Drosophila melanogaster: one gene and its partners. The protein of the gene in region 1 interacts with the protein of each later gene in a pairwise test. Each region holds a gene or a part of one and is shown on either strand. Other genes may lie near its edges.

What was found.
Region 2: the proteins of CG31600 (region 1) and CG34267 interact in a two-hybrid assay, tested with the Drosophila melanogaster proteins (one large-scale study listed by BioGRID).
Region 3: the proteins of CG31600 (region 1) and Peritrophin-15a interact in a two-hybrid assay, tested with the Drosophila melanogaster proteins (one large-scale study listed by BioGRID).
Region 4: the proteins of CG31600 (region 1) and CG10165 interact in a two-hybrid assay, tested with the Drosophila melanogaster proteins (one large-scale study listed by BioGRID).

Annotation. Positions count from the first base shown.
Region 1 is NT_033779.5:21,913,307-21,917,970, reverse strand, and holds CG31600 (uncharacterized protein), read left to right. Parts: upstream 1-2,612; 5' UTR 2,613-2,668; coding exon 2,669-2,713; intron 2,714-2,772; coding exon 2,773-2,955; intron 2,956-3,004; coding exon 3,005-3,169; intron 3,170-3,222; coding exon 3,223-3,531; 3' UTR 3,532-3,702; downstream 3,703-4,664. Other genes in the region: CG11634 (uncharacterized protein), read right to left, coding at 670-1,566.
Region 2 is NT_037436.4:498,487-502,747, reverse strand, and holds CG34267 (uncharacterized protein), read left to right. Parts: upstream 1-2,296; 5' UTR 2,297-2,374; coding exon 2,375-2,386; intron 2,387-2,449; coding exon 2,450-2,671; 3' UTR 2,672-2,734; downstream 2,735-4,261. Other genes in the region: CG34268 (uncharacterized protein), read right to left, coding at 1,409-1,648, 1,712-1,723.
Region 3 is NT_033779.5:8,394,538-8,398,859, reverse strand, and holds Peritrophin-15a (Peritrophin-15a), read left to right. Parts: upstream 1-2,763; 5' UTR 2,764-2,797; coding exon 2,798-2,807; intron 2,808-2,878; coding exon 2,879-3,147; 3' UTR 3,148-3,195; downstream 3,196-4,322. Other genes in the region: CG13385 (uncharacterized protein), read right to left, coding at 1,059-2,120; Peritrophin-15b, read left to right, coding at 3,979-3,988, 4,056-4,322.
Region 4 is NT_033779.5:19,525,400-19,532,290, reverse strand, and holds CG10165 (uncharacterized protein), read left to right. Parts: upstream 1-1,985; 5' UTR 1,986-2,022; exon of another isoform or gene 2,023-2,101; coding exon of another isoform or gene 2,102-3,197; intron 3,198-3,294; exon of another isoform or gene 3,295-3,345; coding exon of another isoform or gene 3,346-3,513; exon of another isoform or gene 3,514-3,520; intron 3,521-3,921; 5' UTR 3,922-4,038; coding exon 4,039-4,203; intron 4,204-4,337; coding exon 4,338-4,530; intron 4,531-4,585; coding exon 4,586-4,914; 3' UTR 4,915-5,381; downstream 5,382-6,891. Other genes in the region: CG10137 (uncharacterized protein), read right to left, coding at 1-124, 181-1,196, 1,263-1,377, 2,102-3,197, 3,346-3,513, 5,480-5,519; Dpm1 (Dolichyl-phosphate mannosyltransferase subunit 1), read left to right, coding at 5,967-6,070, 6,128-6,338, 6,407-6,817.

The DNA of each region.
Region 1 (4,664 bases):
CCCCCTTATTGGGCCAGATACATGCGGGAGATTTATGGGGAATAAATTCCAAGGCAGAAAAACACACAAAACTGATAATTACACTGACGAGCGGGCTTTATTTTTGGATTCAGACCTTAAGTGCCCAAAAGCGACGACTTGGCGTCACTCATACGCTCATCATACTCCCATAAAGAAAATGATTTTATGGGGCAGATGCTTGTGGTGACTCCGGAATGCTGTGCGATCGTAAATTTATTCGGTCATGCCCAGTATCAGATTGCCAAGTTGAATATAAGTATCGGCTGCAGAGCTAGAAAACATTCTTACAGTGTTCGGCACGAATAAACAAAACAATATTTAAGCGAAAAGATAACAGACCAACATTTTACCATTTCTCAATGTCCCAATAAAATTTAAAAAAATCGAATACACAGTTAGTCACGCTGTGTCGAATTAATTCGCAACCTATATACAAAAAACCTGCGTTCATTAAGACGCCCAAAAAGTCAATATCCGGAAGAAAAGAAATATTGTTATTACCGCTGACAGCTGCACTTACATTGTATATTGGCACGCATCATGAACGTTAATAACCATAAAAACACCCAAAATAACTTTAAATTTTGAATCTGCCAAGCACTTTTGCGAAATCGGATGAAAGGGGAAGTCGTGGAAGTCATTCCAATACTAAGCTTCCAAAAAGAAGATAGCTGCGTGCTCCTCCTTGTGATCCTCGATGTCTGGCAATATTTGTCCGCCAATGGGAAATACAATGGCTTTGAAATTGTCATAGATACGTAGGGTTTCGAAGTGAAAGCCGTTTTCAACTACCACGTAATTTTTCTGGGCCTTGTGTGGCTTTAAAATTGGCGACAAGTCAACGTTGGCGCAGTTTAGAAAAAAATAGGACGAGCTGAGGGCCGCCACGAGATCGTAGCATCCAGTTAGCGTTTCGTTCCAAATGGAGACGGATGCGAAGGCCAACGATTCGCACTGACTTATGGCAATGGCCTCCTGGTTATTGCGGAATGTGTGAAATGTTACTACTCCAGTTGGGTAACTTCCCAGCTTATCGTGCGTACAGTCACACACAAAAATGGGTGAAGCCATTGGTGGGGCAACCTCCGAAATGCAGGCCCTTATTATGTTAAAGTTGGAGGTGTGGCATTTCTCCAGTGCTGCCAGATAGCTAGGATGTTCGGCCACAAACTTACTAAGAGGATGTAGCTTAGACAGGATTCGCTCGACGATCTCCCCGCGAATTTTCTCTTCAACCAGAACCATGGCCACCGCATTCGAGGCAAAGGGATTATGAACCGACTCAATAATAAAGTGCAGTGCACTGTTGATGTCGCCTTCTTCAAATATAATCATCAATTGGGGAGATGAAGTGACATCGTGTCCTATATGCCGGTCAGCTTCCGATGTCATTTCGATGACACTGTGATCAGGTGATCTTCCCTCCGGGTTATGGACCATATCGTAGGTGACGACATGATCCAGTGACAAGGACTCATTGTGCTCCGACTGGGACGGATGCTCGGAATCAACTGAACGCGGAAAGTATTTAGTTGTATCGAACATGGCTTATCAAAAACTTCACTGTAATGTAAAAAATTTGTTTTTATATATTTTGAGATTTATTTGAATGGCAAACGCGATTGGATATGATTAAATGAAACATTTCTGACACATTTTCATATTTCAATTATTTTGTTATTTTTTTTAATCTACCAGGAATTCTAATATCACTTGAGTACTAAGTACTAAACCGCTCAATGCGGCGCACTCTGAGTCCTAACCATCGGCATTTATCAAAAGCAATATAGTTTTACTGGCCCCTTCCATCCATTGCCACATCGAGGGAATTCAAAAGAGCACCCATAACCCACGGTGCCCCTTATTTGTTAATCGCTTAATTTATGATCAAATGCGACAGTAAAATTAAAATATCACAAACAGATACAAAACACCAAAGTATTTAGCCATCGTCCAAATAGAATGCCAGAAATGCATTGGATTTGTTGAAATTAGCATTAATAATTATAAATATTTTGCCAAAATATTACAATTTTTATTGTGCATTTCGAACTACACCCTTTTTGACTTACAACAAAGAGCATACGATTATGAAATAACAGAACAGAGCCAACAGCGACAATTAAAATATTTAAAGCCACAGAAATATTTTTTCGCATGGCCCATTGGCGAACTGAAAACCCACAACAAAAAGTGCGTAGTAAATTTCCTAACGAGTTGAGGGACATCCATGTGGACATCAAGTGCAGCAACAATACAGCCATATACGGAATGATAATTTTGCTAACGATGACCATTTACATATATCAAGAGTAATTATAATAAAATGCCGAAAATAAAATTAAAATTAATATAGAAAGCCGATTATAAAATCATGTTTATACCTACAAACAGTTATCGCACACACTCTCATTCGTTGTAGCAAAAACAACTGTCAAAAATAGCAAATCCCATAAATCAACAATGAAATTTTGCCAGAAAAAAGGAATTGAAACACAAATAGAAAAACCTGCGTGATTTCGTATACATACATAATTGGGAAAACAAAAATTTGAATTTATGTGGTAGGCCATTATTTCCAGCTTCGAATATTTTGTCAATTTGCGTAGAATAAAATTGAGCTACGTATATTAAAATAATTCTCAAAATGGTAGAGGGCATGATAAAAAAGCTAACTGCTATTTTATTTGGGGTAAGTATTTAATCAGCAGCCCGTCTTCAAGTTTTTACTGACAACTTTTCTACACTTAGCTTGTATTGGCTGTGTTATTTCGAGTAATTATACCCTTTACTCTGCGACTTAAAAGCGCTGAAATAACCATTAATGTGCTTAACTGTTTTAATTTTCTAACAAGTACCGTTTCCATTACCATTTGCCTGAATTTGGTCAGCCTATACTTAGCCAATTTGCGTGATGATTGGCTTGTTCTCGGGGTAAGGACTTTACCAAAAAAAAAACGTGAGGTTGATAATTGTAAATTAGCTTATACCGCTGCAGATACTCGTCCTTCATTGGACTTACTTCACAATTTCAAAACAACTAGAAGCCATGAACAGGAGCTATAGTACATTCATGGATAGCTTAAACCTTAAATGGCTGGCATACTCCAATTTTAACGAGACAGATTGGCCTTCGATTGAAAATGCGGTATGTGTTATGCCTTTGCTCATTTGCCCTTTCAAGGGTTTTGCTTTTCACAGGTTTTATGCTGTGGACTGGAGGGTCCCCGTTCTTATATGGATTATCTACAAGGGGTTCCAACCCACTGCTACCATCCCGACCTTATCACCCAAGGTTGCAGTGACTTTGTTAAAAACATTTTTATGCCGATACAACATATAAGTCATTTGCAGCTCAGATTGGCTATTTTTGTGGAACTGGTAATTTTACTTATTCTTGCTGCAACGCTTTTGAAGAAATGTATTTCTTTGATCGGCGAAAGGAAACATAAAAGAGTTATTACACACGGGCTTGCGGTACTAATAGATTTAGTTAAAAACACATTTTGAAACATTAGCCTTATTAACCCTAACCAAATACTACTACTCTATACACTACCATGTAACCATTCTTGAGTACTAAATGCAGTTTCTTGTAATGTTTGTATTGTTTTAATCTATGCCACTGTATTGCATACAATATGTAGATGACAAATCGAAATGGAACAAAGAAATAAATTGAAATAAGCTGTCTTTTATTGCCGATGACAATTTGAATAAAATTAATATACAGTTTATCCTATTTTTAATTAATAAATGTCAAACATTTTGCGAGTATTGAGTATGAGTATTTAATTGTCTGATTTGTAATTTGGTTTTTTCCTGTTGTCTTTTTGTCATGGAAAATTGGTTTTGTTATAATTCGTTCGATGAGTACGAAAAAAGTTTCAAATGGCGAATGGAGTGGTAATAGGGTAGCGGAAACACACTTTGGTCTTGTGCAGCGGAAACGGAAGTGAGTATTAGAAGGCAAAATAAACTTTCGGAATGGAAAAACAATTCACATTAAGCAAAACGTACACATTTTTGACAATTCCATACCGTTATTATTGGTCTGAAAATGTACCGGTTTGCTTTTCCAAATTATAATTTATTGTCTTTTTTGGTTTAAAAATGTATATAGATAATATCAGGAAATCAATTGTGGAAAATGCATGAACGAAGGCGTGACCTAAGGTAGATGTATGAACAGTGCTTTCTATTAATTTAAAACAAATTGAATTTTCTTTATTATTTAATACCCCGCTAAAGAGATATTTTAAAAACAAGAGATAATGCTCGGATATACCGAGTTCCCCGACTGTGAGATACTAGTTACTCAGCTAGTGTGTATACGAACGCGAAAGTGCATCATTTTTCTGGGATATCGATAGATATTGGGAAATAAAATGACCGATTCGGAAATCGAAATATTGTTCAATATTAATAAGTGACTAATAAAAACGTGAAAAAATATAAACACATTTTTCAAAAGTTTGGGCGTGGCATTTTTATGCCGTTTCTGGGCGCTAGAGTGGGCGTGGCAACATGGGTCAACGATCTTGCGCTGCGTCTTTGTTTCTACAATCTTTATGCTGAATCTCGAACTTCTCGTTTTAATAGTTCCTGAGATCTCGACATTTATACGGACTGACGGACATGGC
Region 2 (4,261 bases), on another chromosome or scaffold:
ACGAGATAGAGATGGACTGAAGGGGGGGGGGGGGGGGTCTCTCAAGTTCAATTGAGTTTCACTTTCCTTCATAATTTAAATTAACAATTATAGCGGATAATTAACAAAATGAAAACAAAAGCATCGAAGGCAACTCCCCCTGAGCGGCTACGAAAAATATTATTACAAACTGTTGGATAATTTATCAAATGAGCTGCGGATAGGATAGGATTGGGTAGCTGGGCGACGATGAAGTCATTACCACAGACAAAAAAGAAACCACACAAAAGGAGAGACAGGCCCAACAAAAAGACGACGTCACATGTGAAGCGGATCAAATGATTTCGTCATAATCGAGCAGCAAATTACTATTTTTTCCCCCTAATAGAGTAATAAAATTGCCCAACTCTGGCCGAGAAATTTACTTTAAACTGAAAAGGAAGTGGAACCTGAATGGTAGCAGCAGGCTGAAAAACAAAGCTGAAACTGAAAATCGAAACCGAAATGAAATGTGGGGAAAATTAAGAAGAAAACGCTAACAATAAATCTTTTGGCAATAGAAAAAACAAAACCTGCCACAAAAAAGGCCCAAAAAGCCTGTTCACAAAATTGACTTTCGAACACAATTTATTTTTATATTTTTGTCTGCTTATTTCGATGTTATTTTTTTTTTTTGTTTTACCAAATCGCTTGAGAGTTTTTCTAGCCAGCGATTTAATAACCCGAATAAAGCCCCAAATAAAAAACAATGAAAAATTAATGTACGATCCATTCAGGTTCATCATCGACACGAGATCGAACCGCAACCGGGGAAAAAGCCAAAGGGAAAGGCGGCTGGCTCAGAGTGTTTGAAGCGGGCTGTAAGGCTTTGCTTTGTCGCCACTTTAATTGGCTCAAATTAAAGACGAGCTGGGATTGGGTTTTAATGGCAACGTCTGTCGGGTAAGGGGTGGTGGGAGGGGGGGAGGTGGAGAAGATGCAGCTGCAGTTTAGAGGCGTCACTTTATTCCGCTGATTAATGAAGAAATTTCCCCTGGAAGCTTGCCGCCTTGTTAACGACTTTATGTGTGACTATTCGCAAATAACAAAATGAGCGAGGTGAAATTAAATTTTACAAAATGTCCCATAAAATAATCAGTCAGCCATGGAAACCACTGGGGTCTGCGGACAACTTTAGTTGCTATAAAATGTGTAAAATGGAAAGTGCTGACCACGAAAGGGTGTTGGGTACGTAATTTTTACGAGAATTATTTCCTTGATGTAGGAAAAAACATGCATCATTTAATTGTAAGTATAAAAATTAAGCCAGTCCCGATGGCATGACCCAAAAGTTTATCCTCGCTCTATACCAGAAAATAAAGATAAGTTCGATTTGGTTGGCAATTTATTTATGTCGGGTCAATTTCTAATGGGGTTGTGCTACAATAATTTAACCATGGTAGATGTGGTGTCCATAGGTGGGAACAGCGTAGGACTTCAGCACAGGGACATGCTGAACCACTGGGACATTTTTCACCACCGGAACATGCTGCACCACTGGAACATGCTTCACCACCGGAACAGATTTCACCACGGGCACCACCTGGGCCACAGGAACCACTCCGTAGGAGGGCTCAATGTAACCAGGAGCAGCAAAAGCCATTGCTACCAGGGCGAAGATTACAGCGATCTAAGGAGATATTTTGTAATATGAAAAATCCTAAGGATTTACTTTATAATTTCGTGAACTTACAATGCGGAACATTTTGGTATTTTGTTGTGAGTTAAAAACTTTAACTTGTGGTTATCGAACGTTTGTGTTAGCCGGACGACTGTTGTTGATTGACCATCCGTGGAATCATTATATATAGTAGTTAGCACCTCAGCCGAAAATAGCCCACAAATGACTTCTGTTCGAACGCCACGCGCCAAACCAGTTTAATTATCTTAAATTTGGTATCTTCGAATAATGCGCATTCTATTTGGTATGAAACCATCTCCAGCGGCGAACTTCCCGTTATCGGTCGTTATTGCTTAACCTTTGGACATAATCCCCATTCAATGACTTCTCAATTGTTTGCTGTTTTTAGATCCGTGTGCTTATTATTGTTTACTTCCAAGACCATTGTCATTATATCGATCGTCTTCACGCGTTTGTGATGATCACCAAGAACCAAGGTCATGTCCACAAAAAAAGACCTATATGAGGCACCTTTGGGTCAACTGATAAATCCATTCTCTCAATTAAACAGAAGAATTATGGCCAAACACGTTTGCCCATTTAGAAGTTGTTATTGAAGTGATTTTTGGCTATATAAAGTAACTGATCCATTGGTCAGCATCACCAGTCGTCCTACAAGCATCCAAGTGACAATATCTCCAAGTCAAGTTTGTAAATTACTAAGAAAATACCAAAATGTTCCGCATTGTAAGTTCACGAAATTATAAAGTAAATCCTTGTGATTTTTCATATTACAAAATATCTCCTTAGATCGCTGTGATCTTCGCCCTGGTAGCAATGGCTTTTGCTGCTCCTGGTTACATTGAGCCCTCCTACGGTGTGGTTCCTGTAGCCCAAGTGGTGCCCGTGGTGAAATCTGTTCCAGTGGTGCAGCACGTTCCGGTGGTGAAGAATGTCCCAGTGGTTCAGCATGTCCCTGTGCTGAAGTCCTACGCTGTTCCCACCTATGGACACCACATCTACCACGGTTAAATTTTGGAAAGAGCTCAATCGATATCGCACGGGAATAAATAAAATGTTTATGCTTGTAAAAGGAATCATATTTGACTTACTTGTCTCAAATCAAATGCACTTCAAATGAGTTTACAACTTCTGTGATTTATTCGCAGTATTTGCAGTGTGTGCGGATTATTTTCTCATGTCCCGCCGAGTTTTTGTATCCAACAACCCATTAAGAGCTGCAACAGAATTTTCTTCGGTCTGGTCCGATCGGAAATTTTTACGCAAGCCGTAAATGCGCCAAAATCTGGAACACAAATACGTTTTTCTCTGTTTTCGCGTTAGGGGCTTTGTAGTTTATTTGGTGCGGATCGAGTGATAAAAGCCAAATGTGCGCCTCGTTCCAGGCACCCAAAAGATACGGAGATTGAGCAGTTGCGTGGAACACATTTGGCAGGCTGTTCGCTGGTGAATTGACTCTTTGCACCGACTGAAGGTGATTAATGGACGCCAAGAGGAGCGGAGCGGAGTGGAGTTCAGTTGCGAAGAGTTGAGAGTAGCCGTACGATACTTCTTAAACGGTAGTTAAAATCTAACTAACACGCGAGAGAAAGAGTTTGCGTTTGCAGAGTTGGCTGATGAAAACGCTTGCGGCTGGCATTGAAGACTTCTATAAAATGGAAAGGGGGAGGCTTTTCTTGCTGACCCACTTTTGGCAGACAGAAAAATGTATTTGCCTTTGCTGACTGGCTTGGCTGGGCACTCCAAGAATTGTTAACAGCAATTTAGTGGTTATTCGCTTCTTCTTCGGCTGCTAAGTGTATTTTATTGTTCGCCAATTGCTGTTGTTGTCTTGTTAACGCTTTTTATAGCCGCCTTTTGCTTTTCGGCCAACTCTATTTGTCGAGTCTTTCTCTCCATGCAGATGTATCCCACAGATACATTCATTAACTTGTTTGCAGTTACAGTTTCCCTGTTTCCCCTCGCCGGTGATTTATGCTATCGCCAGCGTTTGTTCGTATATTTAGACATTTCCTATGTGTTGTCACCTCAATTTTTTCCTGCACTTGCTCAACTTTTTTATTTTAATTTTATTTTTAGGCTAATTAAAATAATCAGGTAATTGTGCAGTTATGAGTTATGTCTCAAGTCGGCGGAGAAGAGGAAGATTGTGTGAACATGGCAGACCTCAAATCTCGTTATGACTATGAATATGCATTGGCGCTTGATGAGATCCCCTTCCCCATTTTGTGAAGAAGTTAAAGGCGTGCCCAGGCAATTAGTTTGGAGTTGGGCCCTTCCATAGAAACCTTCAGGGCTATTTTGGCACGTTGTCAGGAGGTGGAATGCTGGAATCAGGCGTTGACTTCGGGCGAAACTTGTTCTCCACACCCAGTAACCATTGAATATAACAGGGCTCTCTAGTTAAGATGGGCTCATAAATAGAATAAGTTACAGGCAGCTTTTGACTTTAATAGTTCGCACTTTAATGGATGTTGAAGGACTATGAACGAGTTCGATGAGATCATGATCCTGTTTTAACTATTAAAGTTTTTGAAAAGTTCAATAGCATTCATCACTTATTTTACTTCCATTGAGTAAAACTTAAAGCCAAAACCTGAG
Region 3 (4,322 bases), about 14 Mb from region 1:
ACTTAAGCTACACTGAAAGTAATGTATTACACTTTCCTGGCAGACTGTTCAATTCCGTAAATATGATTTATTAGATAGAAATAATAGTATAATAATAAATTAAAGTATATATTTTTTTGTGCTTAACTTATTAAAAAACCTTACATATTTCAGATTCAATGGATTTTTTTCTAAGTGCACTTAGAAGTGGTAAAGGGTTACCGATGGTTGTGAAAACCCAAAAGGGGAACTATACTTATACCACCCACGGCAGTCATTCGAAACGATGCCAGATCGCAAACTCGGCTAAGAATCGTTAAGAAATTATCACCGTTTCCCGCTGGCTGCAATCGACAAAAAAAAAAAAAAAAAAAACGGCAGCAATATTACACGAAAAACATGACACGAAAACATGTCATTAGATGTATTGTATGTCCAATTGGAAGGAGGAGATGCAAAACTATCTAAAATGGCAGCGACTGATGTCATTTGTTTCCGGCAAACGACTCGCGATTGCAAAAATGGTAGTCTTTTGGAACGTGTCACCTTATCAGCTTATTGGGAATTGCGCTGGTATTTCGCAGAAATTCGCTATCTCCGCAAACCAGTGAAATTAAATATGAAACATTTTTGACACTTATCACAACATGTCCCATAATCTAAGCCAATCGTCCTACACGTTTCGAATATTTTCACTTTGCATTGCACTAGTCTTATCTTAAGCCCAATTTAATTGAATCTAATCAGGACGACCTTGTCGTCGATATTACAAGGCTAAATAGCGACTTACAGATATAGATATAGTAATGAATAAAGCTGTGCAAGTGACTTAACTGAAAATGGGGCAAGTTAAGTCTACTTAAGCTTGAGAGCAACGTCACAGAAAAAGTCAAAGAACTTTGCCGCAATAAACAACACTTTGATTTCCCAAAAGGGGGTTAAAATATATGCATTATAGAATTATTTACTTGATTCCAAAGGATTCGCAACTATTAAAGCTTCAACGCAGTTTATTTATGGTCATGTGGAAGATAATTTATATTCTGATCTAGGGTACTTCGGTGAAGATCATTTCATTGCTACGCTTGGCTATGTCCAATGGAGTTTCCCAGGTTTGGCGAGGAACCAGAATCGAGTCTTAATCTCTCCGAGGACATATGATTACTGAGGGTGTTTTCAGATTCGACGGAGTATGTTGGTGTTGGTCTAGGCGTTTTCGGATATTCGACGCGAAGACGACCATCGGAGAGTACAGATGGAAGCCTACGTTGGTCATCTAGCTCATCTGGTGGCCCTTTAGCAATGGAAGGATCAGACGAGGTCCTCTCCATCATGCGGACTGCTTCCGTAAAGCTAGCTTTGGGCCTGCGCATATGTGGTTGGTGGTCGGGACTTTCTGCTACTGCTTCTGAATGTGGACTCAAGCCTGTTGTTTGATTCTGCTCCCCCAATTGGGTTAATAGTTTCAATATTACATTTGTCGGATCTGAGGGTCCTGCTGGCTGGGATCTCTGGGCTGCCTCCACGGCTGCAGTGACCATTGCGCGTCCCAATGTTTCGTAAATCGTCCTTATATTTCCCACATCTGGCTGGTCAATGGTGTTAGTACATTGATCCCGATGTCCAGGAGTTGCCTTCTCTAATTTGACAAACTCTTTCTGCGCTACGTGGACTCTTAGAGGTTCCTCCGGGTTCAATGACTTGGCATGGCCACAGCAAGGACACTCCGTCGCCATCCTTGATCCTTGCTCATTGTTAAACCTCGGAGGTGGTATGTAGATGGGCATAATACGGTCTTCTGGTCGAAGAACATAGTACACCGGTGGAGGTTGGTTTATGCTGCGGGAGAAATGACGAAACTGGCTTTGCGAATTCTTCCGCTTGGGTGTCGCATATTCCTCGGGTCGGATTCTTAAATTCCTTCGAGGAGGAGGGACATCCGTTGGAGGTCTTACATTCGGGGCAATGGAGACCGATCGACAAGGTCGCTCTGTCGATGTTCTGGAATTGGGGAACAAGGGTATCGTCTGCACCGAAATGGGCATGGCCTGCATCTGTCCACAGGAACTGGGCTGTTGGGACACCAGCTGGATCATAATGGTGTTCGGTGGACCTGTGCCGCTGGTGACCCTCGACTCCATCGCTATGGGAGATTTATCACGAGCAATTTGTAATCATTAATATCGCAAATAATTAGTTGTGTGACACCTACTGCGATTTAATGTTATATTTTGGAGTTTTATATTTCGATATGTATGGTATACGGTATAGCGGATGGGTTGATTAAAAACCAGGTTAGTAGTGCGGTAGTGCTATCACCAACAGTTAAGGGTAGTATATTAATATAAATATAAATGCGTAATTCTAATGACTTGTTTGCGTTAAGAATGTGGGGTTCCCCACGGTTAAGTATTAGGTATTTGAATAGAAGCCCCCAAATTTAAATTTCGATTATAAACCTTACTGTCCTAGTTTTGTACTATATTTAACTTATTGATAGGAGTGCTACCCAGTTTGGATTGTGGCACGCGGCATGACCTTTACGACACATCCATATAATCAAACTATTGCGTCAACAAAACTTAGGGGCGCGTACAATGCGCTGAGATACAGATACAGATACGGTGGGCGATACAAGGTGCGATTATTTTGAAACGATTTCATGTCGCTGCCAAAATAGAATTTCGCACAGGCTTCCCGCCAACGGAGATAACTGCTATTGATGAAAGCCAATATCAGTGCCGGTCTGGGGTATATAAGCTTGCGAATTCGCCCAGTTAAAGCACACTTACGAAACCAGTGGGAACTCAATTGCACCATGAAGTCCGGTAAGTTAGCTGAGCAAATCGAAAAGGAATCCCCATTTGAAATATACTTCAACCCTTTGCCGATCCCATAGCACTACTTTTGATCTGCCTTGCCTTCTTCGTGGCGCTCCTAAGCACCGGAAATGCGTGCGATCCCAATTCTGACAACCAGCCCGACTGCAGCGACGCATCCAACGTGCAAACGAACATCCGCAACTTCTGGGATCCCACTCGCTACTGGTGGTGTGAGTCCTCCACCTCCACGGCCACGGCTGTGTTGTGCCCGTTGTCCACTGGATTCGACCCCACAAAGAAGGAGTGCGTTTCATGGAGCGAATGGTCTTGGACTGCTTACTGTTGATTGCATTTTTAATAACAACAAAAATGAAAATATATGGCAAACTAAATGATTACATACATTGTTTGGATTTTTAAAATATCTCATGTTCTTGCGAGTATTCGAAGATATGGGAAAATGTTATAGAGCAACCTAGATTGGTATATAGAATATTTTGTTTCTGCTCAGTCGCTTTCTATAGGATGTTGAGTACAGTTGAGTGTTAACGAGTTTCATTATTATTTGTAAATAACATTTTTGAGATGTTTTTGTCCAAATGATATCTTGGAAACCTATAAAGATTAGACAGTACTCGTATTGCTACTAATTTGCATTTAATGCAATAAAATGTTTATGAACGAGAGAAAAGTAAATTATACTTTATCATATAAAGTATAAACAATATACTTTAATTTTACAAACAACTTTATTTTTTAACTAGAGCTTGGTTTCAAAATTTGTTTGTTTATTTCAAAAACACTGTGTCTCAGTGTGTAAAGTTTTACAGGGTATAAATTGTCTAAATAGGAGCCGGTCAATTCAAACAAATCATATGCAAATTTTTTGTTCAATAATATTTTAATATCATAACTAAGTATACTACAACACTTGGTGAAATATACTTCTTTGTTTGAAAACGAATTGTACGACGGCGTCAAATGTTCGAATTGTCGAGATACAGATACCAATCGTGATCATGAGATTATTTTTAAACGATTTCATGTTCTTTAAGAAATAGAATGTATAGCTCCGATTGTCTCAGACAATATGTCAGGGAATAGATAGCAGGTGGCTATAAAATGTCGAACGTTGCGTTCCAATCGCATTCGGTATTAATCACTCGAACAAACCACAATGAAAGCAGGTGAGTTTCATTGATGACCTCACATCGCTGAAACCATTGAGATGCCAATAGCGGAATTCTGTTTCAGCTTTAGTCCTTCTCTTCCTGACCCTCTGCGTTGCCATCTACGCCGACCTTGACTGCAATCCCGATGGCAATGGTGAGCCCGATTGCGTGGGACGCTCCGGAGAGATTTCCCGTGACTTCTGGGATCCAACCCACTACTGGCAGTGCTCTAGCACCGGACAGGCCGAGCTAGTTGCCTGCGAGCAGAACACTGGATTCGATCCGAAAACTGGAAGCTGCGTCGATTGGAGCGTTTGGCAGTGGTATCCTCCATGTTCCGAAGCATCCA
Region 4 (6,891 bases), 2.4 Mb from region 1:
AGCAACCTCCAGCACTTGACTGCATTGTGGGCACTTGGTGAGGAAAGGACACGCCTTCCAGTAGTGTCGGTCCAACTGAGTAGCGTCACTGCCGGCACACGACCAGTCGCAAAAGGGGCAACGTCTAAAAGAGTATTAATATTATTGCGGATCCTTGAAGAATTCAATTTTACTACACACATTTTGGGTGTGTTGTCTTCAGTGGACTCCGAGTTGGAAGCGGATCCCTTGCGCGAGTTGCTCACGGATAGCATGGAGCGCTTGAGCTGCTCGTTGTACTGCTGCTTTCCATTGCAGCTGGCATATCCATTACTGGAGCTGGCCATTGGGCCTAGGTTATGACCACTGCGGCTATTCATCAGTCGAGAGGCATCTGAGCTGGTGGACGCCTTATCCGCCGGCGGTGTTGCCGCATCGCCCGAGCTGTGACCCCCGCCATACTTGCTAGCCTCCAGCAGCTCCTGCTTGCGGTCCAGATCCAACTTGTCAAATTCGGTGAAGAGTTGGCGGTACAAGAGATTGCGACGCGTGATGTCGTCATCCGGAGGTAACTGCTTGCGCACCAGTCGGGGATTCACCTTGTAGACGAGCAGCAGGATGCGCTCGGCCACCTTTCGCACAGGCTCCGCTGGATGATGGATGCCGGAGCAGCCGCACTCGGACAATGCCCTGCAGGTGAGTCCACTATGCTTGTCCGTGCTAATGCCCTGAGTGTTGACCAGCTGCTCCAGCATCTGCAGCCGACTCATTGCCAGTCGCTGGTGGGTTCCGGATCCAACGCTTCGTGATAGTGCTGGCGCAACCAGGTGCTGCTCCGCCACCTCCGGACAGGCGGCGATGCTTAGGATCGTGTGCTGGGCCAGAGTGTGCAATCGAGCAGATGGATCGCCGGACTTGGCCAGCAATTCGGGCAGCAGGCGGTCCACGCAACGTGCCACCTCGTTGGGGGAAACTCGACCGGGCACATACTCTAGGAACAGCATGCGTACCGTCTCAGTAGCTTGGCTAAACACGGAGTAAACGGCATCTCTTACAGCGCGATGCAGCAGAAGGGCGGCGCTGCGGGCCACTTTGTTGGGACTGGCAGCGTGCTCGTTGCTCGACGCCTCTAACAGGTCGTGCTCCTTTAGGAAGTTACGCAGACGCATCAAGCCATCCTCGCGGTCCTGAAACTGACGCGAATAGAACTGCTCCACCTGGGAATATACATATGTAGGGCACGTATTGAATATGTTATCTATTGGATTTAATGGGGGACTCACCAGCTCATTGCCGAAGACCAGGATGGGAAGCGCTGCCTGGCGACGCTCGCGGTCGTTCAGGCGCGAACGCCCACGGTTCGGATCCGCTTCCAGTAGCGCGTTGCCTTGGCACTCCCTTAAAAATTCATTAGTATTTGAACTGTGAGCGGTTTGTGTTTGTTGTATCGGAATGGCAACGTTTACGGATGCGGTTACAATATACATATAGGAGTAGAAAGGTAAGTACGATTAAAGGTAAATCTAACAACATGTTACTTTCAAATGCGTTCAAATAACGCCTAATTTAAAGTTTTGTGTATAGTTTCGAAATTTCATTATATGAAATTAACTATGAAACCGTTCAAACTATTTTTAATCTTTTATAAAAGTTTCTAAGTTGTTAATAAAAACATAAATACTTTTCTCTAAAAGCAAATTTTAAATACTTTTTAAAATATCTAAAAGCAAAATTTCTGTCAAAAAGCCTAACATTTAAAAGTATCTCAAAAATACCTAATTTCAATATATAAAGAATTTTTGCTTTTGCTTTAAAAAGATAAATCCTTTTCATGTGTTTAGAGCAGATAAAACGGCTTTACTTAAAATTAAGCTAATAGATTCTCTTTCGTTCTTTGAAATTCTGGGCGAGCGTTAAATCTTAAATTAAAAAAAGTAACGGGTGTTGTTTCTAACGGTCGCTAGTGTTGACAAACATTCAAACTAAGAGTACCGGTTATCATGCAACACTGTAATAGACAGCTGTTTCCAGTAAACAAACGAAGTAATTACTATTCCACAATTGTTTACGTATTCACTAGACACCCAGACAACGATTACGACTCTCTACGCCCGCTACTCACTGTCGCAGCGTGGGAATGGCCCGCTCCTCGTAGTCTTCGTAGGAGTTTCGTGGAACGCTCTTGTTGCGCCTGCGCAGCGATCCCTGTCGGCTGGACATTGGTGAGCTGTGCCTTGAAGGCAGACGTGGCGACTGCGGCAGCTCGTCGTGGGACTTGCGCCAGCCCCCCAGCGTGGGAGTGGGCGTGGCCTGCAAAGAGGTGGGCGCAGGAGCGGGTGCTGGAGCAGGTGCCGGAGCTGTCAACGTATTGTCGTTACCAGGCTGGGAGCCATCGGTCGAGGATTTGTCCTCTAAGCTGAGACTCGTCATGCTCTTGGGACTGAAGGTGGCTTCCGCAAGTGCCTGTGCCACATCCTGCAGGCTAGGAGCCGATGGCAGACTGGGCTTCCCACCCGCATAGATCTCGCAGCTTTGGTCATTGGAGCTTAAGGTCACACCCTGCGGTTCCAGAAGCTGATGCACCTGCAATTGTCGAAGTACTGCCGCCCGGTACATCTCGATCTGCTCCTTGCGTAGCCTGGCCGTGGTAAAGTCCTCCTGCTGAACAGCCTGCCTCTTGGCCAGAGCATAGCGCCCCAAACGTTCTCCGGCAGTCCTTAAAGCTGTCATGCATAGCTTCAGTTTGCGGGCGTACTCGAATCTTTCTGAGTTAACGGCCAAAATCTTTCGCTGTTCCAACTCTCGGATGGTCTGCACTATTGACTCCTCCACATACATGGAGAAAAGCAGGTCATCACAGACGGAGGCCAGGGCCAGTTCTCCGGTGGCCGTGTCCAACGGTGGGGCCTCGTTGGCCAAGTGCTCCTCTCCGTTGCCATTATTTGGCCCCACTTCCAGATCCTCGCCCAGGACATTTACCGCTAGTAGGGAAATCTGGCCTGTGTCATTGTAGTCGTTTCCTTGGACGCCAATCAGACGCAGCTTAAGATGTGTGCCCCTACGTGGACACACGGTTACGCTCTGCAGCTCCCGAGACTTGTAGTTCGTGTTGGCATTATCCGCCAGGGCAACAAAACCCAAAAAGTCAAAGTACTGCGAGGATGGAGTGCTGGGCAGGGATTTGGGCGAGTAGTGCAGCCAGAGTTCTACTTTCTCAGCTAAACGAAAAAACAACACATTATAGGGAATACTCAAGCTGTTTGTTTATATGTTCATCTTTGATCATACTAAAGATCAGGCATTGATTATTTCTAGGTACTTATTAGGCTTGTAGCCAATTCCAATTAACTTAGCACATTAACTTACGTATAAGATACTGGTGTGCCAGGAGCTGGATGCGATAGATCTTGGCCGGCTGCTGGAATCGGAGGATGATGTCATGTGAGGTGAGGCTGCCGTTCGGAGCACTTCGCCATCCGTGAACTGTGGGGCCGTGATTGTTTAACTCGCTAGCCGGAAAGTTAACATCCTCGTCTGAAAGGCAAGCGAAACGATCCAATCATCATTACTTTCATGACGTTATAACCTATGTATAGGTGGCGCAGGCCATTATGACTCTCTTAATAAGTCTCTTTTTCGCACACTCAGCTAAATAGTTGCACATGATAACGATATCGGACTATGTTTCGTTCTCTTTCGGTTGCTAAGCTAACAGCAGCGGTCAAAACGAAAGCTAGCATTCAAGCGTGCCCAAAATAATAAGCCTTAAAATCTATTAAATATTCAGAAACAGGTTATCAGTTATATATGCGATGAAACGTATAAAATGGAAAGCATAAACAAAAACATTTGAGTTACTTTAAGAATTCTCAACTATCACTATTTATTCGAACGCAGCTGTACGAGTACAAACGAATCTAACTTGTTGTTCTCTATCCTCAGGTTCCACGCTCTTCTCTTCTATATTTAAGCGATGTCGATGTTAACATGCTAGTTTAGTCGTCGCTCAGCCGTTCGTGTTTTGTTACTGAATCAGATAGTATTATTGAATCTTTTGAAATGGCGGAGGGTTACACGAAAGCCACTGCCTGGCTGCAAATCCACAGCCTGCTGAATAGCATCAACCACATTCTGATCTTTCTGGTGGCCGTCTTCTTTTTCATACTGGCGCGCAGTCTGGAGTTCAAGGATACCGCCATGCATATGTTTATGACCGGGACTGGAGTGAGTACACGGCGATAAGCACTTGGCCACAAAATCAATAGTGTTAGATCGACCTGGATAACACGGACATGCAACGTCACTTGTTATCTTATCGAACTGGAGCTGAATTAAAAGGCTTTTCTTGCTCTCGACAGTTCCACGTCCTTATCGCCCAGGCCATGATGTCGCATTCGAAAGTGAACCCGCTCACCCGTTGGCTGTCGCACCGAAACAAGTCGCGCTTCCACGCCATCCTGCAGATTGTGGGTGGCTCCATGGTGCTGTTGGGCTCCCTGGGTAAATTTTCCAGCAAGGAGGTGCACTTTAACACCTGGCACGGCCGAGTGGGTGAGTAAATAATTAGGTTAATTCAGGAAAACCGATTAAAGCTGACATTTTGCAGGGGGAGCTGCTTCCTTTTTCTGCGCGGCCAGCATTGTAGGCGGTTTTGTCAACTATTTCCAGCCCAAGTTCGCCCTGAAAGTAATGCCTCCATCAGAGCTTCGCTTCCGCCATAATCTATTTGGATTGGTCACCTTTAGTCTGGGAATGGGCGCCATTTACCTGGGCTACTATTCGAAATTCTTTACCAAGTATGTGGATACTGACTTTATTCCCGGCATGATGCTGATTACCGGCATTGTTTATGGACTCACCATTATCGCGCCGGTGTCATCGCTTCTAACTAAACTTAAGTATCGGTCCAAAAAGAAGGCGGAGCAGGCCCAGTAGGTGATACTGGGGAGGATGAGGCTGAGGCCATCGAGGCTAACCAAAATTTGTCAGGTCCTAGCATGAAAATAAAGAGCTTGGCGTTTGGCCAAATTTAAATCTCTGGCCGCAACTCAAATTGCACATGCAGACACAAAAAGAGTCGACAACCCGGCAGTCTGACAATATTATAATGAAATATTACAGTCATCGTGGTTGCAGTGGTTTTAGGACGTGGTAAATTGGCCGAGACTTTGGAAAATTGATTTAGCATCCTGGCCATATTTAAATCGGACTATTGCCAGCTGATTAGCTGCAATTAAAAAGGCAGCGCCAGTCTATTTTAAATTCCAACGTCCTGGCGCACTAGGCGTATGCGTGATTTATCGATTTCTCAAGTGCAGCGAATTTTAAAGGAAGAAAGGGAGGTGGAAGACGTTTAGCTCTCAGCCAAATCCTGTCGCAACTAAAAATGCAATTAAGAACATAAAAAACACACAAAATAAAGCAAACAAATAAGAAAACTATAAATAATAAAAATCTTTCTGCAGCTTTCAGTTCATAATATATCCGAAGTTTTGTTTACCTGAGGCGAACACCACGTTAAAAGGTATTTTCTTAGCCATGTTGACGTCGCGCCGTCAAAAGCGCACTACTTTGCCACTTTTATTCGCTAATCCGCACATAAAGTGAGCACTTATTCTTAAAGCGGCCGTTCGCGAACTGTGTGACCGCACAATTTTTTATGATTTTTACCCTTGTGCTCTGGAAAGTATACTATAAAACTTTATTCGGCTGGGCGAATATACCAAAAACATACATCATCTACATAGAATGTTATTTGTTCAGCTTTATATTAAAGTCAATATTTTGTCAAATTAGATATTTTAATATCATTTATTTAACACATTTAAATTTACATTTGGAATTCGATACGTTTTAGCCACTATCTAACTATCTAGCCACTATCGACTTCGCTATCGATTCGAGCCAGCTGTTTTGTATTATTGAATTGACCAACACTCTTGTAGTTTTAATTGAAATTATTTACACGGTTCTTGAGAACAATTACAATGCCAACAAATGGCCATAAATACAGCATTTTGATGCCCACTTACAATGAAAAGGATAATTTGCCCATTATAATATGGCTAATTGTGAAATACATGAAGGCGAGGTGAGTAGCGGCTGCTCTAAGGTGCAAATTCAGGTATTAATTGCTCCCCCTTTGCAGCGGCTTGGAATACGAGGTGATTGTGATTGATGATGGTAGTCCGGATGGAACACTAGACGTGGCCAAAGACCTGCAGAAGATCTACGGGGAGGACAAGATTGTGCTGAGACCACGTGGCTCCAAATTGGGACTCGGAACGGCCTACATACATGGCATCAAACATGCCACCGGCGACTTTATAGTTATCATCGATGCGGACTTGAGTCATCATGTGAGTCTAGATAACAGGGTTAAACTAATAATAAGATAAACTAATAAGCTATATTTTTTCCGCTTCAGCCCAAATTCATTCCCGAGTTCATTAAGCTGCAACAGGAGGGCAACTATGACATTGTATCCGGCACTCGGTATGCCGGAAATGGAGGTGTCTTTGGCTGGGACTTCAAGCGCAAGCTCATCTCGCGCGGCGCCAACTTTTTGTCCCAGGTGCTTTTACGTCCGAACGCCAGTGATTTGACCGGCTCCTTCAGGCTCTACAAGAAGGATGTACTGGAGAAATGCATTGCCAGCTGCGTGTCCAAAGGCTACGTGTTCCAAATGGAGATGCTCGTTCGGGCTAGACAGCACGGCTACACCATCGCCGAGGTGCCCATCACCTTCGTGGACCGTATTTATGGCACCTCCAAGCTCGGCGGGACCGAGATTATTCAGTTTGCCAAGAACCTTTTGTATCTGTTTGCGACCACATAAAGAGAAAACCACCATTAGCTGGGTAGATTTTTAAATTTTTAATGTTCTTTGGATTTTCTTTGCTTTGTACATTT